Linked DNA regions of Caenorhabditis elegans. The protein of the gene in region 4 interacts with the protein of the main gene of each other region in a pairwise test. Each region holds a gene or a part of one and is shown on either strand. Other genes may lie near its edges. The genes, in order: tmem-131, nhl-2, mex-1 and cgh-1.

Evidence for each region.
Region 1: the proteins of cgh-1 (region 4) and tmem-131 interact in a two-hybrid assay, tested with the Caenorhabditis elegans proteins (2 studies listed by BioGRID).
Region 2: the proteins of cgh-1 (region 4) and nhl-2 interact in a two-hybrid assay, tested with the Caenorhabditis elegans proteins (one study listed by BioGRID).
Region 3: the proteins of cgh-1 (region 4) and mex-1 interact in a two-hybrid assay, tested with the Caenorhabditis elegans proteins (2 studies listed by BioGRID).

What each region holds. Positions count from the first base shown.
Region 1 is NC_003281.10:4,992,133-5,000,098, forward strand, and holds the start of tmem-131 (Transmembrane protein 131 homolog), read right to left. Parts: upstream 6,030-7,966; 5' UTR 6,002-6,029; coding exon 5,906-6,001; intron 5,862-5,905; coding exon 5,572-5,861; intron 5,401-5,571; coding exon 5,280-5,400; intron 5,234-5,279; coding exon 4,988-5,233; intron 4,716-4,987; coding exon 3,933-4,715; intron 3,844-3,932; coding exon 3,598-3,843; intron 3,549-3,597; coding exon 3,171-3,548; intron 3,127-3,170; coding exon 2,378-3,126; intron 2,335-2,377; coding exon 2,084-2,334; intron 2,035-2,083; coding exon 1,845-2,034; intron 1,786-1,844; coding exon 1,597-1,785; intron 1,551-1,596; coding exon 200-1,550; intron 151-199; coding exon 1-150. Other genes in the region: Guanine nucleotide exchange protein smcr-8, read left to right, coding at 7,251-7,410, 7,456-7,770, 7,819-7,965. UniProt on the Caenorhabditis elegans protein: Collagen binding transmembrane protein involved in collagen secretion, probably by recruiting the ER-to-Golgi transport complex TRAPPIII. Required for normal development.
Region 2 is NC_003281.10:4,893,129-4,900,705, forward strand, and holds nhl-2 (B box-type domain-containing protein), read right to left. Parts: upstream 5,958-7,577; 5' UTR 5,830-5,957; coding exon 5,708-5,829; intron 5,403-5,707; coding exon 5,057-5,402; intron 4,958-5,056; coding exon 4,421-4,957; intron 4,362-4,420; coding exon 3,920-4,361; intron 3,869-3,919; coding exon 3,318-3,868; intron 3,233-3,317; coding exon 2,470-3,232; intron 2,424-2,469; coding exon 2,251-2,423; intron 2,192-2,250; coding exon 2,027-2,191; 3' UTR 530-2,026; downstream 1-529. Other genes in the region: F26F4.6 (TFIIS-type domain-containing protein), read right to left, coding at 1-115, 166-265.
Region 3 is NC_003280.10:11,966,704-11,972,851, reverse strand, and holds mex-1 (C3H1-type domain-containing protein), read right to left. Parts: upstream 4,216-6,148; 5' UTR 4,204-4,215; coding exon 4,065-4,203; intron 4,010-4,064; coding exon 3,858-4,009; intron 3,802-3,857; coding exon 3,463-3,801; intron 2,672-3,462; coding exon 2,165-2,671; intron 2,123-2,164; coding exon 2,006-2,122; intron 1,141-2,005; coding exon 901-1,140; 3' UTR 505-900; downstream 1-504. Other genes in the region: acbp-6 (ACB domain-containing protein), read left to right, coding at 115-256, 310-491; W03C9.5 (PTK2), read left to right, coding at 5,337-5,373, 5,420-5,469, 5,518-5,670; rab-7 (Ras-related protein Rab-7a), read left to right, coding at 5,950-6,066, 6,147-6,148.
Region 4 is NC_003281.10:7,494,798-7,499,754, forward strand, and holds cgh-1 (ATP-dependent RNA helicase cgh-1), read right to left. Parts: upstream 3,036-4,957; 5' UTR 2,998-3,035; coding exon 2,893-2,997; intron 2,846-2,892; coding exon 2,342-2,845; intron 2,297-2,341; coding exon 1,879-2,296; intron 1,858-1,878; exon of another isoform or gene 1,780-1,857; intron 1,731-1,779; coding exon 1,465-1,730; 3' UTR 523-1,464; downstream 1-522. Other genes in the region: C07H6.9 (Serpentine Receptor, class Z), read right to left, coding at 4,036-4,248, 4,291-4,433, 4,478-4,568, 4,612-4,650. UniProt on the Caenorhabditis elegans protein: Probable RNA helicase required for oocyte and sperm function. Also required to prevent the physiological germline apoptosis mechanism killing essentially all developing oocytes.

The DNA.
Region 1 (7,966 bases), 2.5 Mb from region 4:
CTTTCTTGAAAGAGTTGATGAAGCTTGACTTGGACTTCTCTGTCTTTTCATTTGCTGATTGAAATTATCAATATCATCATCTTTGAATATATCCTTAGATGCGGCAGACATCGATGAGAAATCCATTTCTGCATCATCGACATTGACATCCTGTAATATTTCTTAATAAGTAAAGATATTCAATTCTAATTTTAATTACCTCATCAATCCAATCTGGTGCAGCTTCACCTCCAATACTTTCTTCGTCTCCTCCTAAATGTCCGCTAGTTCCCCAGGTCATTCCAATATCCGAAGGTGTTGTAACTGTAGTTCCTTCCGAATCATTAGTTATTGGAGCAACTCCAGAAGCTTGTCGAATAAGATCTTCCATCTGTTCCGCACTCAACGGCCCTCCATAATTCCACAGATTCATAAACGGCATTGCAGCTTGAGCCGCTGGTGTATCCCACATTCCTGCGTCCATTGGCATGCCCATTGATGACAAGAATTGACGATAGAAGAGATCAGGTGAAGTTAAAGAAGTTGGTGGGACGTGAACAAAGTCGTCTGTTGGAGCTGACGTCGGAGCAATTGGAGCTGGAGAGCTAGCGGGATGCTGAGCTCGATTAGACTGGGATGGTGTTTTGCTTGGCGTTCTTGCTTTCGAAGGAGTTGGCTGCTTTGGCCGTTCAACTGGTATTGCATTGGGCTTCTTCTGTTCAGATGGCTTGATGGGTTTCTCTGGTTCTGTTGGCGGAGGAATTGAAGTTTTCGGAGTAACGGGAGTCTTTGTGACTGGTGGTACCTGCACATGTTTCTTTCGCTGATTGTTTCCTTTTGGTTTTGGTGATGGTCCCGGAGTGGTTTTCTTCGCTGGTTCCATTTTATTTTGAACCGGCGGGCTTTGAACAACTGGTTGTACAATAATAGGTGCTTCCAAATTATTATTTTCTTTCTGTTGCGCAGCTCGTTTCTTCTTTCTTTGACTTTTCGACATTGGTGGCTCAGGGTCTGTCACAACCGAAGATTGAGCCCCAGAATCCTTTCTCTGTGCCCACATCTCTGCAAGCTCTTCTTCTTCAACTTCATCAAATTCTGGAGCAAGTTCTCCAGAGTTTTGTTGTCGCTTCTGCTGCCCAACATATTCAAGCATTTGACGGAACTCTTCAACCTTCTGCATTGTCACTGGATTCTTCTTTTTCGTTACTTTTGCCGATTTTGATTGTTTATCATCCGCTTTTTCTCTCCTCCAGAACAAAGACCATTTCCAGAATAAATGAACGCATTTCACAATGAAGTTGGCCAAACCGATAAGTAATCGAGAAATGAGCCAAGCATCGGATGAAGCTCGAAGCGTTGAAGGTCTAGTCGCCGGGGTTGGCTTCTTTATAGAACTTTCGGGCTTAGCTGTAGAAGGTACTGTAGGAACAGGTGTAGTTGTAGAATTGTTCTTATTCAAATTGTTGAGATCAAATACGTGGCGAGGAATGGCAAATTGTTGTCTGATGGCAACGGCAATAGCACGATCACCTTCCAGATAGGCGCATGCAAGAACACAAACAAGACAGAATCTGAAAATAATTATTTTAGTTTTCATAAAGTTTTGTTTAAACTTACATCAGTGCTGTTACACAGCTATAATACATGATATTCTCAAAAGGTGGTCGAGGGAGTGCCTGATGACATTTGGCAAGCATATCACCGGGTACTGTAGATGCCAATGGGAATATCCAAGCACTACCGTTCATGTGCATATAAAGTTGTAAATCTGCTTCATTGGTTGTTGTAAGGAAGTCTGGTGTGTAACTGAAATTTAAAAAAAATACAATTTATGTTTATTTTGTAATTATATTTTTCTAACTCACGCAATATCTAAAGCATATGTCTCATTTGGTTGTAGACGGAACGGGTAACAATTGAGAATTCGAAAACCTCGATTCTCGCAAGGAACACCGTTAATACTCATATTGGTTACGGTAAATTGAACTTCTCCACTATTCATCACTTGGAACGGGCGGCGAACAGTCAGAGTTGAGTGCAATTTGTGCATTAATCCTGTAAAATTTTGCATTTATATTTTTCAATGAAATTTCGAATCACATACTTTTAGGGTTATTGCAATCTGTCAAATGATCGTGCCGAATTTCGAATAATAACGGCTTTTTGGATCGAGCTTCGGCTCCTTCAACTTTAACTCCAATTCGAGCACCTTTTCCATACATTACAACTGGCTCAATCGCTGTCAAATTGTTACGAATCAAGAGAAGAGATGATCGGAGTGTGTAGTCTGATGGCAGGAAACCAAGGCGAAGTCGAATTTTCATATGTGGTTTTAGGATCATTGATAACGTGAACCTGAAATTAATTGATAAATTGAATTAATTTTAAAACAACTAACCTAGGAATATTAATTTCATTATTATATCTTGGCATCTCATGATTTAAATGATATTCAAATGCTTCTCTGAGCTTCGGAACAGGTGAATCTGACTTCAAAGTGAACAATTCAGTGTCTCGCAACGAAAACATCAATGTTTCGTTCATTTCAACATGATCTGTCAGTTCGGATACCAAATTTGGACGCATCAGTTCGACGAGAGACTCTGCATCCGGGTAGATAACCAATGGAATTACTTGAATTGCAACTGGCACATTTGTTGGATTGGCTAGTGTTAGATTCACGATGGTGAAGTTTCCAAGAGCTGTTAGAGGGAAATGAATGGAATTTCTTGTGAGAAGTCGTGGCCACACCAATTCAGCAGATGTTTTGATCTTGATATTCTTTGCTTTATCAGTATCCAAAATTATTGTAGTGTTGATATGATGTTTTCCACTATTCACCAATGCATCATATTTCTTTCTCAACTGTTTGTACAGATAAGAATCAATTTCTGGCAAATTAGATGGTAGTGTGAGACCATGCGTAAACCACGCTCCATCGGAACTTCCTAATGGGAGACCCAGATAACAGTAATCATGTTCACATGGAGCTGATGGAGAGAACATGACACGTCCAAGATTAGTGAGTCGTCCTGAACGAAGCACAGGTGGATTCTTGGGATCGAATCCTTCGAAAAAGAATCGTGGATCTTCATTGAGAGTTGTCAGACGGGTTACGGTCATATCTTCGTCGAATGAGTTGAATACCTAAACAATTTCAGAAATTGAAGCAACTATTAGGATCTTCCTACCTGTAGTGTTCGATAAACCAATTTCGACGGGAACGTCTGTCCGAAGCATATTTCTTCCGGTATCGACTGTAGTGATCCAGTTGATACTTGATAAGTAACTCCAAATATTTTACTCTCTAAATCAGTTTCGAAAATGATATTTCCGTTTCGAACAACTCCATCCGATGGAACTTTCAGCTCCAAATCAAAGATTTTTCCTTTCATTGGTGGAATATCAACATCGGTGGCTTCAACGTATTCAAGACGTTCATCATTTCGAACATCAGAAAAGTTTCCGATCGACTTGACACCAACTTCGTAGAGTCGGTAAGCCGAACGATGTGGTACAGCAAGATTTTTGAGACGCATCTCAGCTCGATTGTGATTCCAAACCACGAACTGAAATTATAAATTGAAATGTTATAACTTTATTTTAATTTTTTCTTACTCGAATTGTCCTTGTGTCATTCCTTTCAACAAAACCGAAATCAAATGAATTTTTATCCACAGATATCAACTCAACGTTCATTCTTCCTGTATAGGTTGATAGGCTTAAATTAAAAGTGGAAACATTTGTGTGTAGATAAATTGTAGAGTTATCGAATGTTGGTGGTAGTTTCTTATTGTATTTCAGAACAAAGACTGGTGAAATGTGGCCGGAACGGATGAGGGCAGTGCGATCAATGAGTCGAACCTGAAAGAAGAGAAAATAATAACTAGGATAATTCAGTTTTGAGAATTTGAACTTTAAAAATTTCCCAAAAAAAAATTATGAGAACTTACAGAAAAGTGGGAGACCAATTCTGGAGCCAATGTAATATTGAAAATAGCCACATCGAATGGCAACTGATTTTCAATTCGAATAATTCTTTGATGAGGTGGTCTCAAATCTTCTTGAATCGATAAATCATTTCCAATCGGGAGAAGGTCTCCACGAAATACATCGGCTCGATACGGAATGCTAACATTATAGTTTCCACCTCTAGAAACTGCAATAATGTGCCCACTAATATGTTTCATCTGTTGTTGAGGTGACATTTGTACTCGATTTCCTTCTAGATATACTTTTACAAGATCTGCTTTTGGTCCCAATGTGACGCTTCCCTTTGTTGGTGGATATACTATAATTGGTGGATGTGAAGCAAATTCCATATAAATTGCTGTATGATCTCCTTTCTCTACGTATAGAGTCTCGAATTCCAACCTTCCTCCAATTTGATATTGAACCACAGAAAATACTTTGGCCTCTGATTTCATCCCTTGTCGAATAAGTCCAAAATCCAAAATTTCATCTGTTGCATACACTCCGCGACGTTTCAGAACTTCAATTGGTACGGTTAAATAGATATCCGTATTCGGTTTGCGATGCTCAGAGCTCAAATAAATTTCAGATCCAATTCGAACAAATACTGTCGAATTTTCAGAAGTTGCTCCAACTAGGACCAGCGTAGCGATTTGTTTGGATTGATATGGACGAATATCCCAATATTGTAGTGGTTCTTCAGCCAATTTACTGTCAACTTCATGAGGAAGTTCTATGTGAGCATTTCCTCCAGATGTTCCGATCTATAAATTTTGTTAAATTAAACTAATTTAGAAGTAAATAATTATTAAATTCAATTATATAGGCGAAATAATTGAAGATTTTCGAAAATTGGTCATTTGAAAGTTTTGAAATGTTACAAAAATGAAAATGTATCTATTTTTCTCACAAAAACTAGTATTTTTTCGATTCAAAACTATTTTAAATACAAAATTTTTTTTTTATATTTATTTAAACAACGTCCTTTGAATGTATTTTTATCATCTCCGTGAAATTTTTCATTTAAAAAACAAACCTCGGTAATTCTCATTGTATACGCGTACGGATTGAAAATAACAATTGGCTTTGAAATAGATGAATTCATCGGAAGACGATAACCAGTAAATGGTGATATACGATATGGATTTGAATCACAATTTCCCTGCATTTTGTATGTGAATACTCCAACAGAAGTGTAAAAATGAACAATTGTCGATCGTTTTCCAATTTCTCGTGGTAGGAAGACCACTTCCAATGATGTAACACCATGTGGCTCAAGCTTCTGAAATTATCAAGAAATAATTGATTTTTGAGTAGAGAAAACTCACATATTGCTCAAAATATGAAGCTTGAAATTCAATAGAGTTGACAACAACTGCATCGAGGAATATCTGTTCATTTCTCATATTTCGAATGTAGATTTTGCGTTTCTGCGCGGTACCGACAGAACTGAAAAAAAATGCATACTTGGAAGGTTTTTTAAATTAATCAAAATTTTTGTTATCATACTTAAAATGGCCCCAAAATGTCGAATTTCATAACGAGACATTCCAAAAATTGCATTTTTTCAAAGTCTCGTTATGAAGTTCGATCTTTTGAGTATAATTAAAAATTATTCACTTTTGCCCAAAATCCATCATTGGTGGATCCATCTCCATTGGAAGTTTCCCTTTTCCAGACAATTTCAACACGTTGAATGTTTTCGTCGCATGGTTCTTGTTGGCTTCTTTCGGACAATTTCCTTCACAAACTCCTTTAATTGAATCATAAACTGGCAATTGATGCACATTTTCGGGTCGAATAGGATGATTGAGATAGTGAAGCTCTTCACCGATTTGAACAAATGCGGTATGAAGAACTGGAATCTCGTGAAGCTGGGATGCGGACACTTCTTCTGGAAGAGGCCATGCCTGAAATTGATTTTTTAATGTGAATTTCTGAGGCTAAACCATACCTGCTGATCTGCAAAAGTTGAAGTGATTAAAAGAGAAATTAGGAAGAAATATATCGTCCGATATCTGTTTGAAGTTTTGTGTATTGATGGAACCATTTGAGCATTTGGTAAATTGAGAGTTTCTCTGAAAAAACGAATAAATTTTTTTCTATAGGTTTTCTGAGTAAGATAATTAAAAAGCACAATAAAACGGAAATCAGTTTTTATTGCTTATTTTTTGCTTATTTGCTTATGCAACATGGATGATACGTGGAATTGAACGGCACTAAGAGATTTCTCCAGGGAAATAAAAAAGTGAGAGACAACGGCAAAGGCGACGTCGACTTCAATTGGGAAGGATAACTGGGAGAAGAGATAGTGTTTGATTTGGAGAGACCCAGTATTCGGCATCTTGGGAAGAAGAAGATACAGTCGTCGTGAGACGCAGAACAAATAGGATCGATCGATTTTTGAGGGAAAATAGAGATGTTGAACACGTCATCACACCATTATAAGAGAAAGAAGAACGAAGAAATCTGGTTTGGAAAAGTGAAGAGAGAAAAAAGAAAAAGGGCTTTTTTCGGTGAAAAATGAGTGGAATCAAGTGAATAAAACAAAGACAAAGTGATAACCATCTGTCATCTAGGTCAAGGCAGTCAGGAAAAAAGTCTATAGCTGTCAACCGCAGGCTAGTTTTATTACCTCGGGTATGAATATTAATGAAGCATTAAAATATTGAGCGCTTGGATTTACATAGAATTTAGAAAATCAGAAAACAGTCTTTATTTAGCAGAACAATTGTGGAAATTATGGACACATTTTTTTTGTAATCAGAAAATGATTTTCTTCGGCTATTGTTGTTAACAAACACGCGAAAAATAGAATATTTGACAGAGTATACTATAAATATCAAAAATATGTCTTAAATAATTCCGAATATGCAAATTTCTGCGCGAAAACGTTCAAAACTGACGATTAAAAACCAGAAAAACTACAGAAACAAATTACAGTTATTTCAGCCGTGTGGAGAATCCTCGGCCACGGCCACCAGAACAATATCTCCTGACTGCAGTGACTGGTTTTCCGATGTTTACACTGCTGGAAGTTACTTCATTGTTCTTTTGCAAACAATTTCGCTTGGAAAATATTGATTTAATTTAACTTGAACGTAAATTGACTTTTAAATTGATTAATGAGTAGTTTTATAGAGGGTTTTGGTTACTGTAGCTTTAAAGGCGCATGCTTGAAAAGTTTTAATGAAGGAAACTCTTCCATAATTTGCAAACATTTTCACTTTTGTTTTTTAAGCCGTTTTCTGCTGAATTCGTCTTTTTATTATGAAATTAAAATTGTATTAATTTCAGAAATGATTTCATTCGAGGATTTTCTCCTCCGACCATCCAAAGTCGTCGATCCATTCAACAGATTCGTCGCAAAAATTGATCCATTTCTGACTCTTGTCGAATTTTGCCAAGTTATCGGACCAAAACCACTAGCGGTAGTTTCTCAGCGGCCAGATGATAAAAGTAAATATTTATACACAATTTTCTCGAATAAATGCTAATTTTCAGTCCGCGGAGTTGACATAAACGATATGGCAATCTGGTTGATGTCGTCTGATACTGTTCCGGGTACAATGATTGTGTTGGAAAACAATCAAACGGGTGTATATGCGGCCGCATATTATTTTAATTTGTACGACATGAGAGCAAGAGCTTTTCAAAGAAATTTATGCATCGCCTATTTATGTTCGGAGAAGCCAACAAAAGAAACTTTGAACCTATTCTCATCAGCTATGAAAAAATTAGTTTCACCAGTTTTGATTTGCAATCGACGTCTGTTTATTCGCCATGTCACTGATATTGTCAAGTTTTCGGACAGTGTTGGTAAGTTTTTTTTCTTCGATTTTTTAAACAAATTGTTACCATTTTCAGATGAAACCACCCTGAAACAGTACTATACACTGAATGGAGATTCACAAAAGTTGTCAGACGGAAGCAGATTCAATGTAGTTTTCGAGCAAACCAGGCTTCTAAAAAGCAAATTTTTGACGAAAAGATTTCAAGAAATGGCTTTTGATGG
Region 2 (7,577 bases), 2.6 Mb from region 4:
TCTTCCTTTTTCTCAATTTCTTGACTCAACTTCTTCTTCATATTCTCCCGAACAACTCGGCTTCTCAAACCATCCGATCGGATGAAGACCACTTGTTTCTCACCGAACATTAATCCTGAAAATACGTAATTCATGTTAATTTTTATTTTAAATTTAAAATCTCACTCATTTTCCTTGCTGGTTCTTCTACTTCCACTCGTGCCAAATGACTAATTGATTGAGGTCGTCGAGCTGATTCTTCAGATTCTTCATTTTGAGTAGACATTTTCAGTTAAATCCAGCTGTAAATTTCAGTTTTATCTAGACAAAAAAGCGAGAAAATCAAATTTGAAAAAGCAGCGAAGCATGATTTAATTATAAAAGTCTTGATATCTATGTACCTTTATCGTTTTCTCGTCATTCGACCATAATAATTATTGATCATTGTTCAATATCTCTGCGTATCTTTTCTCTTCATTGATTCACATCTTCGATATATTCACGCGCACATCTAACGCACAGCAAACACGAAAAACACGAAAAATACTTTTTTTTTTGATTAACACTTTATTTTCATCAAAGTTAAAATTTTGAAAAAGATGGTAATTATAATAAAATTCTGAGAAATAGCCTTGTAGAAAACATTGAGAATGTGTACTAGAAAGCGCTTTGGATTCGCCACGGAAATGGACTCAATAAAAATGGGGGAAAAATCAAAGTGGTTAGCACAAAAAAGTGAGAATAAGAATTCGCTCCAATAAAAATTTCACAAAAAAGAAGAAAATGATGGTTTTGAGCGGCAAATTTGAAATTTCAGTGGGAAAGGTACGGGGCTTTTATAAAAAATGATGGAAGAGAGTAGATAATTGTGTCTATAATCATCACGAAACAGGATTAAAGATGAGGTTCGATTCGATAGATGAGAATAAAAAGAAATGTACAAAACGAATAAAAACGATTTCAAAAATGGGAATATGAAGAAATTGAGTAACGAAATGTGCTTTTAGAAGAGCTTTTTGTGGTACCTACTGGGATATATAAGAAACATTTGAAAGCGACGGGACTAGGGGGGAGAATTACACTGTATGTATAGGAAAAAGTTAAGCGATCTCAATTGAAAAATGCACTAGAATTTCAATGAAGAGCGTTTAACTCAACGTATAGAGTATATATGACTGACCTCTAGAATCGCTAGAAATGAGGAAACATAGAAAAAAAAGCCGGGAATTTGGGGGAAATTGAGCATTTTCGTAAAATAGTATAAAAATCTGATAAAATTTGGCTGAATGCGAGAATATTTGGAGAAAGAAAAGAAATGGTTGCTGCACAGGGACGCTTTTTAGAATAGAATTTGGGACAACGATGACGAGGTTTTGTTGTAGTTCAAAATATAAACTTTATAGTTTCAGAGTTTTTTAAAAGTTGATCTCCCGTTTGAAAACGCTGAAATTATAACAAGGATAACAATATACGAGAAAAATGAACGGAAGTGAGTAAGAGTGTGTAGGGAGCCCTATATTTTTTTTGGAATTTTTTGATTTTTTTTGGGCGAGCTGAAATTCAAATTTCACTTAAAATAGATACAAAACGATGCAGTCCTAAGATGAGGCTTATAAGAAAGAAAAAACAAGAACATTTTTGAAACGGAAAGGCGGGGGCGGGTTGAAAAGTTGACAGGGGTAAATTTGAAAAAAAAAACGCTAACGGTATTTACATTTTAACGAATAAAATGGTATAAACTGGATAAATGGGAAATAAGAAGAAAAAACTTAAAATCTTTGGAAAGAATTTGAGCAAAATAAAAAAGAGACGTTTTTGTATTAAAAAGCTTGAGGGAGAGGAGGGGTGGCAAATGAGGTCTCAAAACGAAAGAATTAAGAGATATGGGGAGGGGAAAGAAACTTAGGAACTTAAAATAATGGAACAACACCGGGGACAACAAAAAGGCGGATAAGCAAAGGGAGAAGGAAAAAAAAGAAGACGGCTAGAAATGAGAAAAAAGAAATGTACAAGAAAAAAAGCTTATATAGGAATTGGGGTAACCTCCTCACTGAAACTTGCTGATGAGCGAAGTTGCATGAGGAACTGGAGTTGGAACAGGAAGTCCATTTGGAAGAATCAATGGTTTGAAGACGAATAGAGTGTGGTTATGCTTACACAACGTCACAATGTGACCACTTTTAGCGATTCGGAGACCAACGCACCGAGAAAGCTGAAAATACAAATTGTTCAATATAACTGCACTTTCTAAATAATTTTCAAGATACTTACTCTAAACTCGTTGTGAGTAAATGAATGAATATGTTGTCCTTCGGGTGAGAATACAACAACGTGCAGATGATTTCCATGAGTATCAGCTACAAGAACCTCTCCTGCCTTCGAGACGTCTATTCCAATTGGATATGGGGTCTGTGATGGTTCTCCCATTTTTCGGATGAATTTTCCTGAAAATATTACACTTTTTTTTAATCCAGAAAATTATTACGGTACCTTCAGAAGTGTAAACTTGGACACAATGATGCTTGAAATCCGTTATATAAATCAGGTTATCAAACATGGCAACATCAGAAGCTTCTCCGAGTTGAGTGGAAGCATCGAACCAGAATGTGACTCGTGGTGCATCTACATCAATAGAATACACAAATCCAGCAGTATCAACAAGTAAAAGTTGTCCATTCGGGGTTGCGGCAGCAGCGGATACTTCTATTCCGCCACGTGGAACCAAAGCCATCATGTTGAGACGTTTGACGAATTCACCACGAGCTTCGAAGATCTGAGCACGAGTTTTCCCGTCACCGCCTTTATCGAGTACCACATAACGGACAGCTTCTCCTCTCAGTGCAATCACTTTTCTTGGGAAGCACAATTGTCCGTCATCCGTTCCTGGACGTCCAATCTTCCATGGATGAGGTGGACCACATACGACAACTCGATGATTATTGGTATCAGCAATCAGAATATCATCAGTGTCAGACAAACAGAATCCAGATGGACAATGCAACTCTCGAATAGTGCTTCCTTGTTGAGATGTTCCGAACACACTGTGCACCTTCAGATCGCTGACTCGTTGTGCGTTCGCTGAATTCTGCGATTGACCGACATCCGAAGCAGTAGTGGTTACAGCCGAATTTGCGGCAGCAGTAGCTGCTAGTGCTGCAGCTGCAGCTGATGTGAGTTGAGGATTCAAACTCAAATTTCCCATTGCATTCATCGCCAAAAACTCTTGAATTGTTTGATTGGTGCGCAGGTTGTTCTGAAAATAAATATTAAGCATGTGTTGTGACTGCATAATATGAATAATGAATAGTATTTAGGAATGTTTCAAAAATAGAGCTTACCATTGACATTATTTGTGGATTCAATCGATGGCTGGCAAGTGCTTGTAGTTGAGCCGCTGCTAACTTCTGCTGCATATAGGCGGCTGAAGCATTAGTTGACAGACCAGTAGTTGTTGGTGTAGCCACTGCTGGAAGCCCTTGACGAGCATTCCACATCGCTGGGAAAATAGACTCTGGCAATGGAGTTTGTGATCCATTTGTTGATCCATTCGTAAGTGCTGCCAAATCCATGTGATTTGCAGCCAAGGCAACCAGATCAGGACGCATACCAGCAGCCGCAGCAGCCATCGCAGCTGCATTAGGAAGATTCGAAAGTTGCTGTTGAGAAACAATTGGAGCAGCTGTCTGAGTCGGAGCTCCAGTTATCATAGTTTGAGGTCCAGTAACAGGTGGGGGAGTTGTCGATTCTGGTGGATGACTGCTTGGTGGCCATCCGCCGAATGCATTGCTGTCTCCACGAGTACCATTGGTTCCATTCTGTGTGTTCTTCTTACGTTCTCCACCAATTGCACCGAGTTGTGGATTTTGTGAATAAACAGGGCGTCCCCATTCTGAAAGAATCAATATTAATAATCAATTTATAGAGAAAATAATCAATTTACCATCTTGTTGTGATGGATTAGCTGCTGAGCTAGATCTTCCACCTCCTGGTTGAGAACCTCCTCTTTCACTTCTATCAGTTGATGCTGCAGTTGCATTTCCAACGTCTTTAACAGTTGGCTGAATCACTCGTCCGATAACTGTTCCAGTTAGTTGATGCACAAAATGATCAATTTGTTTTTTCGATGGAGTATAAAACTCAAGTTCCACTTGGTGTCCATGAGATGGAATAGCATGAGACAAGTTTCCAAATTGTTGAATAACTTTTTTCCTCGAAACAACCAACTCGAGACCATTTCCTTTGGTAAGAAGTCGGCGAGTGAAGTTGATGGCATCATGTACTCGTGCTTCGTTAACTTGTGATTTACGGTACATTTCATCAATGTTAGACTCTTGACGGATTCGCGCCTCTTCGAGATCGTTCACGCTTTTTTGATAGGCCTCCTGAAATTTTAATATATTTTTCCCTTTAACTCCAAAACATTTAAATTTTGATGCCCTACCTCAATAGAATTGCGTAACTCCTCATAATGTTTATCAACTCGATACTTCGCAATCTCATACTGTTCATTCAACTGTTGAGACTTGTCTGGAAGGCTATTCATATCAGCCACAGAATTGTTATATTTCTTTTCGACACGATCCACAGTACTTGTCACATCTTCCCTTATAGCATTGATCACAAGCTCGTTGATATCAATGATTTTATGATTCAAATGATCAACTTCCAGGCATTGCTTACAAGCCGCTGTTTCACATGCTGCACACAAATATCTCATATGCTGATTATGAGTGGAGCACATGACTTGACGAAGTTCTGGATGGGCTCCAGGCTGCCGAAGATCAGCAAATGTGGTTACAGTGTGACCTTGGAAAAGGTTCATGACAGTATGAGCAGTTGTGCAGTTTTCGCATAAATCTGAAGAGCATTGATCACAGAATGCGATGGCTTCTTGTTCGGATTTGCAGGCAGTACATGGTTTGCGATGGTGGGCAACCATTTTCTCAACTTCAACTTCCTTCATTTCGGCAAGACGAACCTGGAAATATTATATTGAAAACATTGAATCCAAGTTTAGTAATGTTTTTGGTAGATCAAAAGACCAAAATACTATGTTTCAGAAAAAAATTCAACTTACAAAATCCAGGAGCATGGCATGAACATATCGAACATCATTTCCAACATGCGATTCTTGTGAACAAATTGGACATCGGATTACGCCAGGAGGTGTTGGTCGTTCTTTAACTTTCGGTGTTTCCAATTCACAATCCAACATTGCTGCAGTCGCTCGTTTCTTCTCTTCAATGGCAGCTGACTTTGCTTGAAGGTGTCCATCAAGTTGAGCAATAATACAATCTTCGCACATTGAATGAAGACAATCAAGAACTCGCGGTTTACGGAAATCTTGTTGACAGTATGGACATGAAGCATGATCATCTTCTGGTAGTGGTTCTGTGCCAAATAGAGGTGATGATGACGTTGATCTGAAACTATTTGGATTATTTATTTATCAGGAAAAATTAGTGTTTAAAGATGTAATATACTAACAATGGCCTAAAAAAGACCGACTTTCATAACCAAATTCATCAAAAAAAAAATTCAAAATTTGTAGTTGCAGTTCAAGAAATTTCAGAAAAATTGTTTTATTTTGGCTGAAAATTTGATTTTGCCAATTAAAAGATTTAAAAAACAATAAATAATCGATACGGAAAAAACAAAATTAGAGGTTTTAGTTGAAATTAAGAATTTTAATGTTTTTTTTTAACTTATGTAATTCATGATAGCTTACCTCAGTGGATCTTGTCCATTCAAACTGGGCGTTCCACTATTTTGTGTGTTATTTGTGGACGTAGCGGGCGATTCATGCCTACCATTCACCGCCGAAGTCGGCCGATCTGCCGCTTTTTTCATCTTCACGGAATGAACGTTCGACACTTTTCAATCTTCTTATCCGGGTGCTTTTTGTTATTAACAAGCACACAAATACAGAATAAGAGAATATTAAAGTATCAGGGACACTCTTGGAGTGTAAACTGAAATGAAAAATGATTATAAGAAGTTAATTGGGTTTAAGAGTAGTAAGAAATTCGAGTTTCACAGAAAATACATTCAAAAGAATAATAAAAAAATCAAGGAAGGCGTCTAAAGTTTCGGAAAATCAGTGAACTATTCGAACTCTAATAAGAATTACAACAAAAACGAACACCTAAATACAAAAAAAAACAAAATATTTGTTGGTTTGAACAACACAACGTTCAGTTTCAGCGTTTCTTTCAATGTCATAAGACTTATTCCACCTGACCAGAAAATTGTTAGGTTCTACAAAAAAAGAATCACGCGCAGACGAATAAGATACAGAAAAAATGAAACGGAAGAAGAGATAATCAAGAAAAAACAAAGTACTTATGGCATTCAATGTTCTAAATATTCTGCAATGCAATACTAAACAAAAAGCGAGCGCAGGGAATGTTTAAATGCAAGTGTTGTAAACGAAAATTGTTGATTTTAACAGAAAATTTTTAATTTTTAAATAAAAAATGAAGAATTTAAAAAAATTCAAAAGTTTTAAAACAAAATAATGCACTTTGGATGCCATTTTCTTCAGAATTTCACGATAAAACATTGAAATTTATTAGAAAAGCAGAAAGCTGAAATCAAATTCTACCTGTTACTGAAAAATCAATTTGCAAAATTCGAAAAAATGACGTCATTTCGACGAAAAAGAGCAATTACTAGCGCACTTTTGCACGAGACGCGTGCAGACAGTGGCGAGAGAGTATGCAGAATGAAGAGAGTAGTCATAGACTGGGACACCGCTTTCTGTATCGTCTCACACGCATGACACACACTTTCGCGGCCGCTACGCAGAGAAACCGCCTACTTGGCATCGTGCCAGCTGCACTTTCACCACCTCGAGGGTATTTGTTGGCTGAATGCCAAGTGGGCGGAGTGAGGGGCGTGAGGAAAACTGCAAAAGTGCGGCAGGGAAATTCGACGATTTTTTCGGAAGCGGTTGGTGGATGACCATTCGCATGATCATTCAGATGACAAACACTCTATTGGAAATTTTTTTCCGAATTTACATAAAAAAGAATTTAAAATCTTTTTACAATAGTAACGTATCAAGTTAAAAACTTTATCAGACGCTAATTAGGCTTCATAGGAATTTTGTTTACTTTTTTCGCATTTTAGCCAACGAAATCGATACGAGCAGGTTTTTGAAAGGCGCTTCCACTAATAAAGAGTTGCAATTTGACTAAATTAATATTTATTTAAATATATTTTACCAGTTCAACAGAAATAAATACTCAAAAGGGAACAATTTTTTAATAAAAAGCAAGGATTTATTCAAAAAGAATTTGTCCAAGAGGAGTTCTGAAATTCACAGTACCAATTTCGTTGCGGGACCTTTTCAATGGAAAAAGCTATGCTCCTTTAAAATTTCACAGGTACTGTAAAGTTTTAAAGAAATTGTTTTCCTTTTTCGATGAGATTCTATTTTTTGACGCCTTATCAGTTTGACCTCTTTCTTGATATCAGTTGTCTCATTCGTGCATCAATATTCAAAATTGCCTCACCAACTACTTCTTACCTTACTTTTTCAGCTCCAGAGGATACTGAAAAGTGATTTTCATTTGATTACCCTTACTTAAGTTTTA
Region 3 (6,148 bases), on a different chromosome or scaffold from region 4:
AACGAGACCCATGATTCGCGGCCGTTTACGCCCCATAATAGTAAAAGATGCAAGCGCGCTCCACCGAATTTTTCGAGGATTCAATAATAACAATCAAATTCCCAATTCCCTCAGAAATGGACCGGGCTAACTTTTGAAATTGCCGCCGAGGAGATGCGTCGGCTCAAGTCCGAGCCAACCGATCGAGAGCGGCTGAAACTCTACGCATTGTACAAACAGGCTCTCCATGGGGACATTCCAAATGAGGATGTGTATCGTAAGGGTCTCGAATGGAAAATAATCCAAAATCTAACATTCTATATTTTTCAGCAGTTCCCGCCGGTGACGAGGTCGGCAGGAAAAAATATGCCGCCTGGAAATCGCAGAAAGGCGCGAATTCGGAGAAATGCCGCGCGGACTACGTGGCAATCGCCGAGGAAATGATCAAAAAATACGGGCGGAACATTGTCCGTTGCAAGTGGAACAGTGAAGTTTGGTCTGTGGATTATTGATTGATTTTGAGTATTTTTTTGTTTTTGAATAAAAATTCAAATCTCTTCATATTTGTTCTTGGCGTTCTGGGTCGGTGGGTATCGTGGCGAGACACCGATAGAGAGAGTGAGATAGACTAGAGAGAGAGATAGAGAAATGGGGAATGTTTGGGGGGAAACGGTAGAGATCACAAAATAACTTTTTACAATCATTATCAAAATAAATATGGCTCAGATTGGCCGGGGGGTGGGACACAAAAATACAAAATATGGACATTTTTTTGGTGGTGTGGGGGGAAAATTATGATATGACATGAAAATTTGGAGGGGATTTTTTGTTCTTGTTGTAAGAGATTTTGGACTGGGACAATTTGTGAGAATTTGGCAGATTTTTAGGTAGGTAGGTAGGGGGTGGACGGAGGAATCCAGATTATCTCGAATAATGATCTTCGTGAGCATCGTCGTCTTCACCGCCCATCGATGATTCCTCTTGGATCATTGTCATTTTCCCGAAAATCTTCTCGTACCACGGCTGTTCTTGGACTGGAGATGATGTGCTGGTGGTCGTGGTGGAAGGGATTTGATGAGCTGGCAGAATCGCCGATGACGTCATATTCAGATGAGAACCGTCGACGAGCAGTGTATCCTCCTCGCGAATCAGTGAAAGATCCTGAAACAAAATTTGTATGGAGGGGGACCAATCAGCGATTCGCACCGCCCATTTTTCAACCAATCAAATGAAATGGGCGGAGTTTATTTGAAGTAGATTTTTCATTGTTCAGGGATTTTTTTGTGGTTTTTTTTGGAAAGAACAGCGAGAATGGGGGATTTTCTCTAAAATTCAAAATGGAACTGCTAAACCAATCAGCGTCCTCGAGCTCCGCCCACTTTTTGTGATTGGTTGAAAAGTGGGCGGAGCGAATCGCTGATTGGTCGCAGTTCTCATTTTGGAAGGAATTTCGCCAAAATTTAAAAAAATCGGGTTTTTAAAAAATAATTTTCATTTTTTTTCGTGGTTTCCCTGAAAAATAGCTAGAACGGGAATTTTGCTTCTTTTTTTAATCCAAAAATAGTATAAATTCATTAAAAACCACAAAAAGGAACTGCAAAACCAATCAGCGTCTTCGAGCACCGCCCACTACATCTGATTGGTTGAAAAGTGGGCGGTGCGAATCGCTGATTGGTCGCAGTTCTCATTTTGAAGGGAATTTCGCCAAAATTGAAAAATCTGGTTTTAAAGTAGAATTTTACATTCTTTGCCGATTTTTTTGGTGGTTTCTCTAAAAAAAGCGAGAATGGGGGTTTTTCTCTAAAAAATTCGGAAAAAAAACTACAAAAAATGAAAAAGATTCGTAAAAAGAGATTTAAATTGATATTTAAACTTTGAAGAGAACTGCCAAACCAATCAGCTCCGCCCACTATATATGATTGGTTGAAAAGTGGGCGGTGTGAATCGCTGATTGGTCGCATTGAAAAATCGCATTTTTTGTGTTTTTTTCATAATTAGAAGCAATTGTTCAGCGGGGATGCCGTACCCTTTTCGGTAGAACCGTCGCCCGTTCCTTCTTGACAACTCCAGTCTGATTACGCTCGACGTGCTCCTCGTTGGCGCGGATCATGGCTCCATAGGTGCGAATGTTCTCCTGAAAATTCTCAAAACTTGACGGTTTTATCCGGGAAAAAGGCGGACTAACTGGTTTTCCGAACATTTTCCCGCTTGCCATAGAAGCTTCATAGTCGGCCTGATCAATGAGAGAGCTCAGTGGACCGGTGGATGGTGGTGCCGGAATATGACGACGTTGATGATGATGATGATGATAATGATGATTGTCAGACCTTTTAGGTCCGTCACCAGTTGCCATTTCAATATTGACAACTTGCATCGATGGATAGACAATCTTCGGAGCTGGTGTCTGCTGCTGCTGCTGCTGCTGCTGCTCACTACCAAGATGCTCGAATTGATGATGAAGCCGGCGGCGAGGAGCACTGTATCCACTATCCGACATATCGTGGAAATTGTTGAATGGTGGCCGACGATAGCGTTGTTGGTACTGCTGCTGCTGCTGATGTTGTCGATGGTGAAGCTCACTCAGATCCTCCACTTGGGATGATGATTCGTCGGGATTGGTGATCTCGTCGTCGCGAGCCGGTGAGATCTCGCCTTCTTGAAGAGCACGGTTGTACTCGCTCAGTGGAAGACCCTGCAAGAATTTTTTTTTAATTAAAAATTAAAAATTCCTATGGAAATCTACTAGATTTTGAATATTTTTCGGGAAAAATTAGGAAATCTGCGCTGAAAATGACTCAAATTTTGATTTTTTCAATTAAAAAATAGCGAGAAAACAGAACATTTGAAAAATTTCACTAAAAAATCAATGGGTTTGGCAGCTCTATTTCTATAAAATGAATAGGAATTTGAAGATTTTTAACGAAAAATCAGAAAAATCCGACTGGAAATGACGAAATTTTTGTCTTTTTTGGTGAAAATAACCTAAAATTTGTGAAAAAAAAAGAATTAATCGCGATTTTCAACGAATTTCAGCTCGAATTTTTATGAAATTTTTAGGAAATGCAAGATTTCCCACAAAACTAGGGGCAAAATTCAGTGAAAATGGCGAAAAATTTGTGGAAAATTGAACTGAACGCGACTTTTAACAGTTTAACGAAAAATCTGAAAGTTACAATGTGTTTCACACAAAACGAGGATTATAAACTGACTTCAGCTCAAAATTTCCATGAAATTACTTAGAATTTGATGATTTTTAACGAAAATTTGAAAATCTAACTGAAAATGACCAAATTTTGATCTTTTTCACTGAAAATAACCAAAATTTGTAAAGATTTCGCAATTTTCAACGAATTTCAGCTCAAAATTTCGACGAAATTAGTAAGAATTTGAAGATTTTAAACAAAAAAACCTAATATAAAAACCTAAGAAAATAATGCTATTTTATTCATTTATGAGAATTCCTGCAATCTCAAATGTTCCAACCTTCTTCAGCTTATGAATAAACTGGCATCGTGGTCCATAGGGACACTGTCCAAAGTTGGAAAACTTGTCGCACAGCTGCGTCTTGTACTTTGGATGCGCCTTGCCACGTGGCTGCGACGGCATCCTCAGCTCGTTCTCGCCGTGAGCAAACCGGCAAGCTTCGCCGTACGGGCAGGAGCCTGAGCGCTTAAAAGCGTCACAAAGTGCCGTCTTGAATGCTTCTTCCTTGCGCTTCTGACGCTGAACCGACTCTCGTTCGTCATCAGTCATAGTCTCCCATTGAGCGGAATGACGGCGATATTGCGATGAGGAAGAGGACCGATGCATGTTGTTGAATGACTGAAAAATATTAGATTTTTATATTTTTTGAATTTAATAATTCAAATTTCTCCTACGTCATCGGACACAGAGATATTCTTGTTGGTGGCTCTGCGATATGGCATGCTTCCAGCCTCAATTGGCTCCTCCAACATTAGCTTATCCATTTCGGGAATCGCGGCCGCCAGCGACGGAATGAGGTTCCTGTGGGGAAGCATCGGGGGAAATCCTAAAATTAATTTTTAATTTTATTCGATTTATCCTTCAGAAGCTAAAGAAAATACCATGTTGATACATATTCTTTTGTGGTTGGAAGCCTAGAAACGTTTGTTGAGCCAACGCGAGAAGAGCCGGGTCGCATGGAGCATTCATGAAGTACGGCGTCTGCTTTTGTTGGTGATGCTCTCCATTTGAAGATTGCATCCTTCTCCTTTCCTGAAATTAATTAATTTGGTGGAAAATCGACGAAAAATCATGTTTTATTGAGGAATTGAGGAACAAAATCGTTAAAAAAAGGTGTAAATTGAATTAAACTGAATTTTTGGGCAAAATCTCCGCAAAAAATGAAGAAAAATGAGCGAAATTCGCGCCATTTACCTCAAAATCCAAAATTTCCCGCTCCACGGGCTACGGTAGTCGTGGTGAGACCCTGCAACAACTTTTGTGGCTGCGTCTTTGAACCGTAACTTTTTGATTCATTTTTATTATTCTTCTTTGTTTTCGGACAGTTTCCTTGTTTATTTGTTCGGTTTTTGATGTCGAAAACTCTAGAAAACAAGAATATAAATTGAAACTCTTCGAGACACAATCTATTTTCAGATTTTTCGCATGTCTGAAAGCTTCTTTCCATTTTTTTTTCGTTTCTTTTCCCCCGTCTATCATGAAAAATTCTCTGAAAAAAAAACTAAATCCGGTTTCCAATCTTTCGAAATTTTTTATTTGCCTAGTTTACACTCAGGAATATTCCTAAGTATAATACCAGGAAACCCCCCGAATACCCAGTCTTTTTCCATTTTCCCAATTTTAATTTTATGTTTTCTGTACTTTTCCTTTCAAAAAGTGCTTCTATTTTTACTATTCAAAGCTGCTCAGCGTGAGCATGCTCATGACTAAGCACGAGAAGCTGAAGCTGAAAAATTAGGGGGATCACTTATTCGGTGGATTTAAAATTTTGAAAATTAAAGTATATATTTTGCTAGTTTAAGCTGTTTGTTTTAAAGCTTTATCTTTAATTTTGAAGTTTTTAATTTTCCTCCCAGTTTTCACCATGAAAAACTAATTTTCTGCTCAAAATCCCCACGAATCACTTTCCATGCTTCGATAATTCCCGTGGTCTCGTCACAAGTGCGCTCTGTCGAACGCGTCGCGGCTCTCGCGGCGCGTGTCTCATCTGGCCATTTCTCCCAGCTGACGGCCCTGTCACGTGCACTTTTTGCCCCTTTTTACACAAAAAATCGCCACTTTTTCAATCTTTTTGTTCTTTTTTTCGTCACCATCACTATCCTCTTTGTCAGAAAATGCGAAACTTTCCATTTTACAGGCGCCCTCACGCGAAAATGGCCGATGCGATTCAAACCGCTCCTAGGTTCACTGGTTGGTTTTTACTCGAAAAAACTGATACAATACTATTTTAATCCAGGGAAAAATCGAGACCCGCAATTATTCACGGTAACCAATCATTACAACGAGGTGAGCTACACATATTTCATTCAAAAAATCGAAAATATTCCATTTCAGGCGGGCACTGGACCGCTCGAAGCTGCCATTTGTAGGCACAATCCGCTGCACGTCGTCTCTGCAGCATTGCGACACCAACATGAAGAATCGCAATGCCCCGATCGGAAGTGGAATCCGTCGGAGAAGATTGTAAAGTACAAGGACATGCAGTAGCTTGTTGGAGGAATTTTATATACTTTTTTTAAAAATTTATTAACCATTTTTCTCATTTTCCCGACATGTATTTTTTTGCTACGGGTCAAATTGTATTTTCGCTTTATGTAATATTTCTAAATAATTTCGTCGTCACAATTTAGTTACTATTTGTTCTTGCGACACAGGTTGAACAATCGCCTGTCTGTATCTTTTTCTTTCTTTTTTTAATCTATAATTCATTTTCTTATCAGTTAATTGATTTTTGCAGCACAACAAAAAGGCTTCCAGTGAACAAAAATGTCGGGAACCAGAAAGAAGGCGCTGCTCAAAGTGATCATTCTCGGAGATTCGGGCGTTGGAAAAACATCTTTGATGAATCAATATGTAAATCGGCGATTTAGTAATCAATATAAGGTTTGTCAATTTTTTTAGAAACTGAAATTTTTGTTTAAACTCAAAATTCTCCCTGAAATATAAACAAATTTCTCCTTCAGGC
Region 4 (4,957 bases):
GACGGATACGGATTGTTAACATTTGCATAATATTACAAAAGGCGAGGATATACATATAGAAAAGCATATGAGAAAATGAAACTAAAAAGAATTTTCAAAGTCATTGCGGTCGGAATCCGAATACACACTAATAGATTAATGTAGACGTTCCGACCTCTCCCGTCACCGCAATATCAACTAATATTACTGTGCGCGGCGCGCATTACTGGTGCCGATACGGATGGGCAATCACCTCTCCGGATGACACATCCAAGAGAGAAACAGTAAATTGAATACCGACCTCAACCATTGCCGCTGGCTGACTGTCAACACATTCAACGCCTTCCGCTGCTGTTGCCAGGGAATACGAGAAACGAAAGTAAATCGTCGCATTTTGTTACTTTCATTTCACATGGTCTTTCACTCGGGAAATGCGCTAATGTGCTTTAATGTATCTCTTGTGGGTTTTCGGTTTTTCTCAAGGCTTTCACTACTTTCCTCTTCATATGAAACTCTGAAAAGAAATAACAGAAGACGATGTTTCGATTCGGTCTTTTATTGTTAAAGATGGCAATCATCCAGAAGGAAGCTTGCACATCCTTTGTGAATCGAAAAATTGTGCAAATTTTTGGTGTCAACTTCTACAAATTATACAATAAACAAGAGGGAGGAGGCGGGAGAGAACAAATGGTTTTGGAATGGGGATGGGGGAAGAGCTGTAAGCGAGACACATGGCCAGCCGGAAGCCTTCCAAGACATTATAGTCTTTGAGCCATTTGACATGATAATAGTTGCAATAAATATCTATCAGATTAGGAGATGGACAAGTTGAACTGGAATGAGCACAAGAGCGGAATAAAACCCTACAGATGGGCAAGGGAAAACCGCAAGGATGGTGGTTTTAAATTTTGGATGCATTGGTATGGGGCATGAAGGGAGAATTGTGGGAAATGAGATAGGAAATTACAAGATTGATCAATGTGGTGCGGCTCAACAGAATAACTACAGAGCCGGCTACCCAGTATGATACACGTCAAAAAGAACCCGATGTGTATGAACAATGTCCTTACACTCCCAAATATATTTTGCAACGACACATTAATGTCGAAACAATTTACTTTGGGAGCATAAAGACCAACTTAAATGACTATGTAAAACACAACGACTTGAATGAGTTACAGTCCATGACTGCAAGTTGGAGGGTATGGGGAAACTAATGAAAAAGAAAAATTAGAATTTTACACCGCATATAAGTGGAACGGGTTGATGGGGTCCGGGAAGGTGGATGGGATACAAATAATGTGCGGGGATTTGAGAAAACAGGAAGGAAAGATGCTTATGCTTGAACAATATTAAATTTAGCACAAACTGTGCATTTAAAGGAAAATAGAGAACATACACAATCTGGACGAGATCACTAGAATGGAAAAAAAAAACGTAGGCGACCAGTGTGTTTTGGAGGTTTGGGGATATGAGAACTAGTGTTTAAGCAGTGGTCTCATCGGCGGCATCGACGAGCTGCTGGTCAGCGACATACAGCTTCGGGTCAACCGTTTTCGGGATGGGCTCAATGCGAGTACGAAGCTCCTGCTCGATACGGCGAAGGGTGTGACGGTCTTCGTAGGTGATAAGGTTGATTGCAACTCCGAGGTGACCGAAACGTCCAGAGCGACCGATTCTGTGAAGGTAAGTCTCGGCGTTTCTTGGGAAGTCAAAGTTGATGACAACATTGACAGCCTGGATATCGATACCTGAAAAATTACAATTATGCATGAACTACACTTTAAAATAAGAAAAATGGCGCTCAGATATCCGTTCTTCAATTATCTCTTCACATAACTTCAGAGTGTGTGTATGTGTTATCAATCCTCATCGCGCAAATTATTTAGTCAAACTTACCACGGGTGAGAAGATCGGAGCAAACCAAGTTTCTGCAGTTTCCTTGACGGAAGTCATGGAAGACACGGTTTCTGTGATTCTGAGCCATCTTGGAATGAATGTAGTAGCACGAGTAACCGATTTCCGTGATTTTCTTAGCGAGAAGCTCAACACGTTGAGTAGAGTTACAGAAGATGATCGACTGGTTGATTTGAAGTTTTCGGAACAACGTATTCAAACAGTGGACCTTTTGCTTCTCTTGAACAAAGGCATAGTATTGGGTGACACCAAGAAGAGTAAGCTCCTCCATGAGGTTGATCTCATACGGCTTGTGCATGTGCTTCTGCATGAACGAAGTGACGGTGTTAGGGAAAGTGGCAGAATAAAGCATAACTTGACGCTCCTTTGGGAGGAAGTTGATGAGGCGGTCGAGAATTCCCTGTAAACGAGAATTGTTATCTTATTCAAATGTTAATTTTTTTACCTGGAAGTCTTGACTAAGAAGTTTGTCAGCCTCGTCAAGAACAAGTGTTTTACAATGTTCCATTTTGGCGACTCCTTTCTCCATAAGATCGAGAATTCTTCCTGGGGTGGCGATGACCAAGTGAACCGTTCCGTTTAGACGCATGATATCATCACGGAGATCAGTTCCTCCGGTAGTGACCATAACTTTGAGCTGAATGTGTTTGGAGAGCTCCACGCAGATCTGTGAAGTTTGGAGAGCCAATTCACGAGTTGGGACAATGACCATGGCTTGAATAGCTTTGAGGGCTGGCTGGATCTTCTCGATAACAGGGATACAATAAGCTCCGGTTTTTCCTGTTCCGTTCTTAGCTCTTGCGAGAATATCTTGACCAGTGAGAGCGACTCCGATGGATGCTTCTTGAATAGGACTCGGTTTTTCCCATCCTTTCTCAAAAATCCCCATGAGAAGATCGCGTCCAAGGCAGAAATCCTCAAACTCGACTCCCTTCGTATCAGTGACATCCTGAAAAATGAAATGGTCACAAAGTCATATAGGCTTTGCAAACTCACAGCAGTTTTGAATCTTCTGTCTTTTGCTGGAAGATTGAGACCAGCCTTCCAGTTTTCGTCGCCATTGTTGGCAGGAACGATCTGTTGTTGCTCCGCTCCACTCATTTTCCGATGTCGTAGTAGGTTTGATTTCCTGATGAGATCTGTAAAATCGAGATTAAAGTTGAGAAGTTGTTAATGGTGTAAGTTGAGAAGTTGTTAATGAAGGAAGATAAGTTTTTAATGCGAAAAAATGATACCTATCGAGTTTACTACAATTTTGTTAGTCATGGAAAAATCATTCAAGCATTTTCAGAACAATTAGGAGGAACGCTAAATAACACTGAGATAATATTTATGCGAGACAACCGGTGTCTGTCTCGCGCTCGTATACACACGATCAATGACGGTTAGAAAAAGCAAGCGAGTGGTCGGCGGCGCATAGAGACGCACAGACACTCTTTGGGTTGCTGGAGTATCTAGCCAACAGGGTAGCCGATGTTTGACGACGTGGCAATTGACAAGAAACAATTTCAAAAGGTCAGAGAATCACGACAATTTTTTATTGATACCTTCCAGTTTTTAAGCGACTCTCCAAACAATAAACGCGAAAAAGTTTATATTTTACATTCGAAAGTTTGAAAGAACACTTTTTGTTATCGTTTTTTAAAACAGGTTTCTGAGCTACGAAACTGATAAAAATCTTCGGAAAACGACTGAATCTATCAAGAAAGTGTCGATAACAGATTGGAGCTGCCATCGTCGCCTAAAACTCTTAGAAATCTAGAGAAGAAACACAGAAACACGTGGAGAACAACGGCCAAAATGAAGGAAATGTGCGAAGAAACGAGAGTGTGGAGAGAAAAACTGTGAGAGCGACGGGACGAGTAGGCCAAGCTGCTGCGAGCGACGAGTGAGAGGCATTTCGCTGCGTACATTCAACACACAAAAGTTGAATACTCAGCCAACGCGCGAAACAAAATGGCGGTAATTCAAAATTAGATTTCAATGAAAAACTTTACGAAGATTTGATGCGAAATTTCTTGAGAATAATAATGAATTAAATATTAAAAAGAATATACCAGCGTCGATGAAAATTTATTAAAGGATAATTAGTTCTAAATGTAATGAGTAATGTGATTACTTTATCGTTTTTCGATTTCCTCATTTTTCTAATTCGAACTCCTCATATTCAACCAGAAATCTGTGATATGCGTCACATCTAGCTCCGTGATGGCAGTATACGATGAATATAAGAAACCGACACGGTTGGATAACACAATTGAAATACGCCAAATCCACAATAGGCAATATTTTCGAGCTGCCAACAAAATAAATTGTTCCGAAACAGGACACATCCACCACCATTTTTATAAACTGAAAATCTTAATTGAAAACAGGAGTCAAAAGAAACGTTACATTTGTGGTAATCGTAATAACATTGAGACGTTGGACTCCATTGTATGATATAAAATATATAACTATCAAAATGCTTGTTAGAAAAAATAACGAAAATTGAATGTAAACAAGTGACAGATACACGAACGACTCTGTCTTCATATCTGCAATTTTAGTTGTTATATTTTTCCACTTTTTATTTTCTTACAGAAATAAGCAGATCCAAGATAAACCGATTGGTACCAAGTTTGTAAAGCTTCTAGGCAAATCATGTTTATAGCAATAGGACTCCAAGATCCCTTAAAATTATTTATAAAGGCAGAAACATTACAGATAACAAACTTGATCGAGATTGAATAACGGCGGAGGAGATAGACTCATAATTCTTATATGCAAATTATTTAAAAATGGTTTGTTATTTTATTTATGAATTATATGATTTGAACGTTAAATGTTAATAATAATATGAAATTGCGTGTAACTCATGAATTGAAATTAATTACGTTATTATTTTGTTCTTTCTTTTTTCAAAAATAAAATGTTTCCTTACTTAAAAGTCGCGCCGAGATCCGAAAACACGCCAAAGTGGTTGCTGGCGCGTTTCATCATAATTGCTGACGCATTGTCAGTGCCTGGTCCATTTACTGGGAAAAATCTAACATTTTAAATTATTTCCCGGGAAATTTCC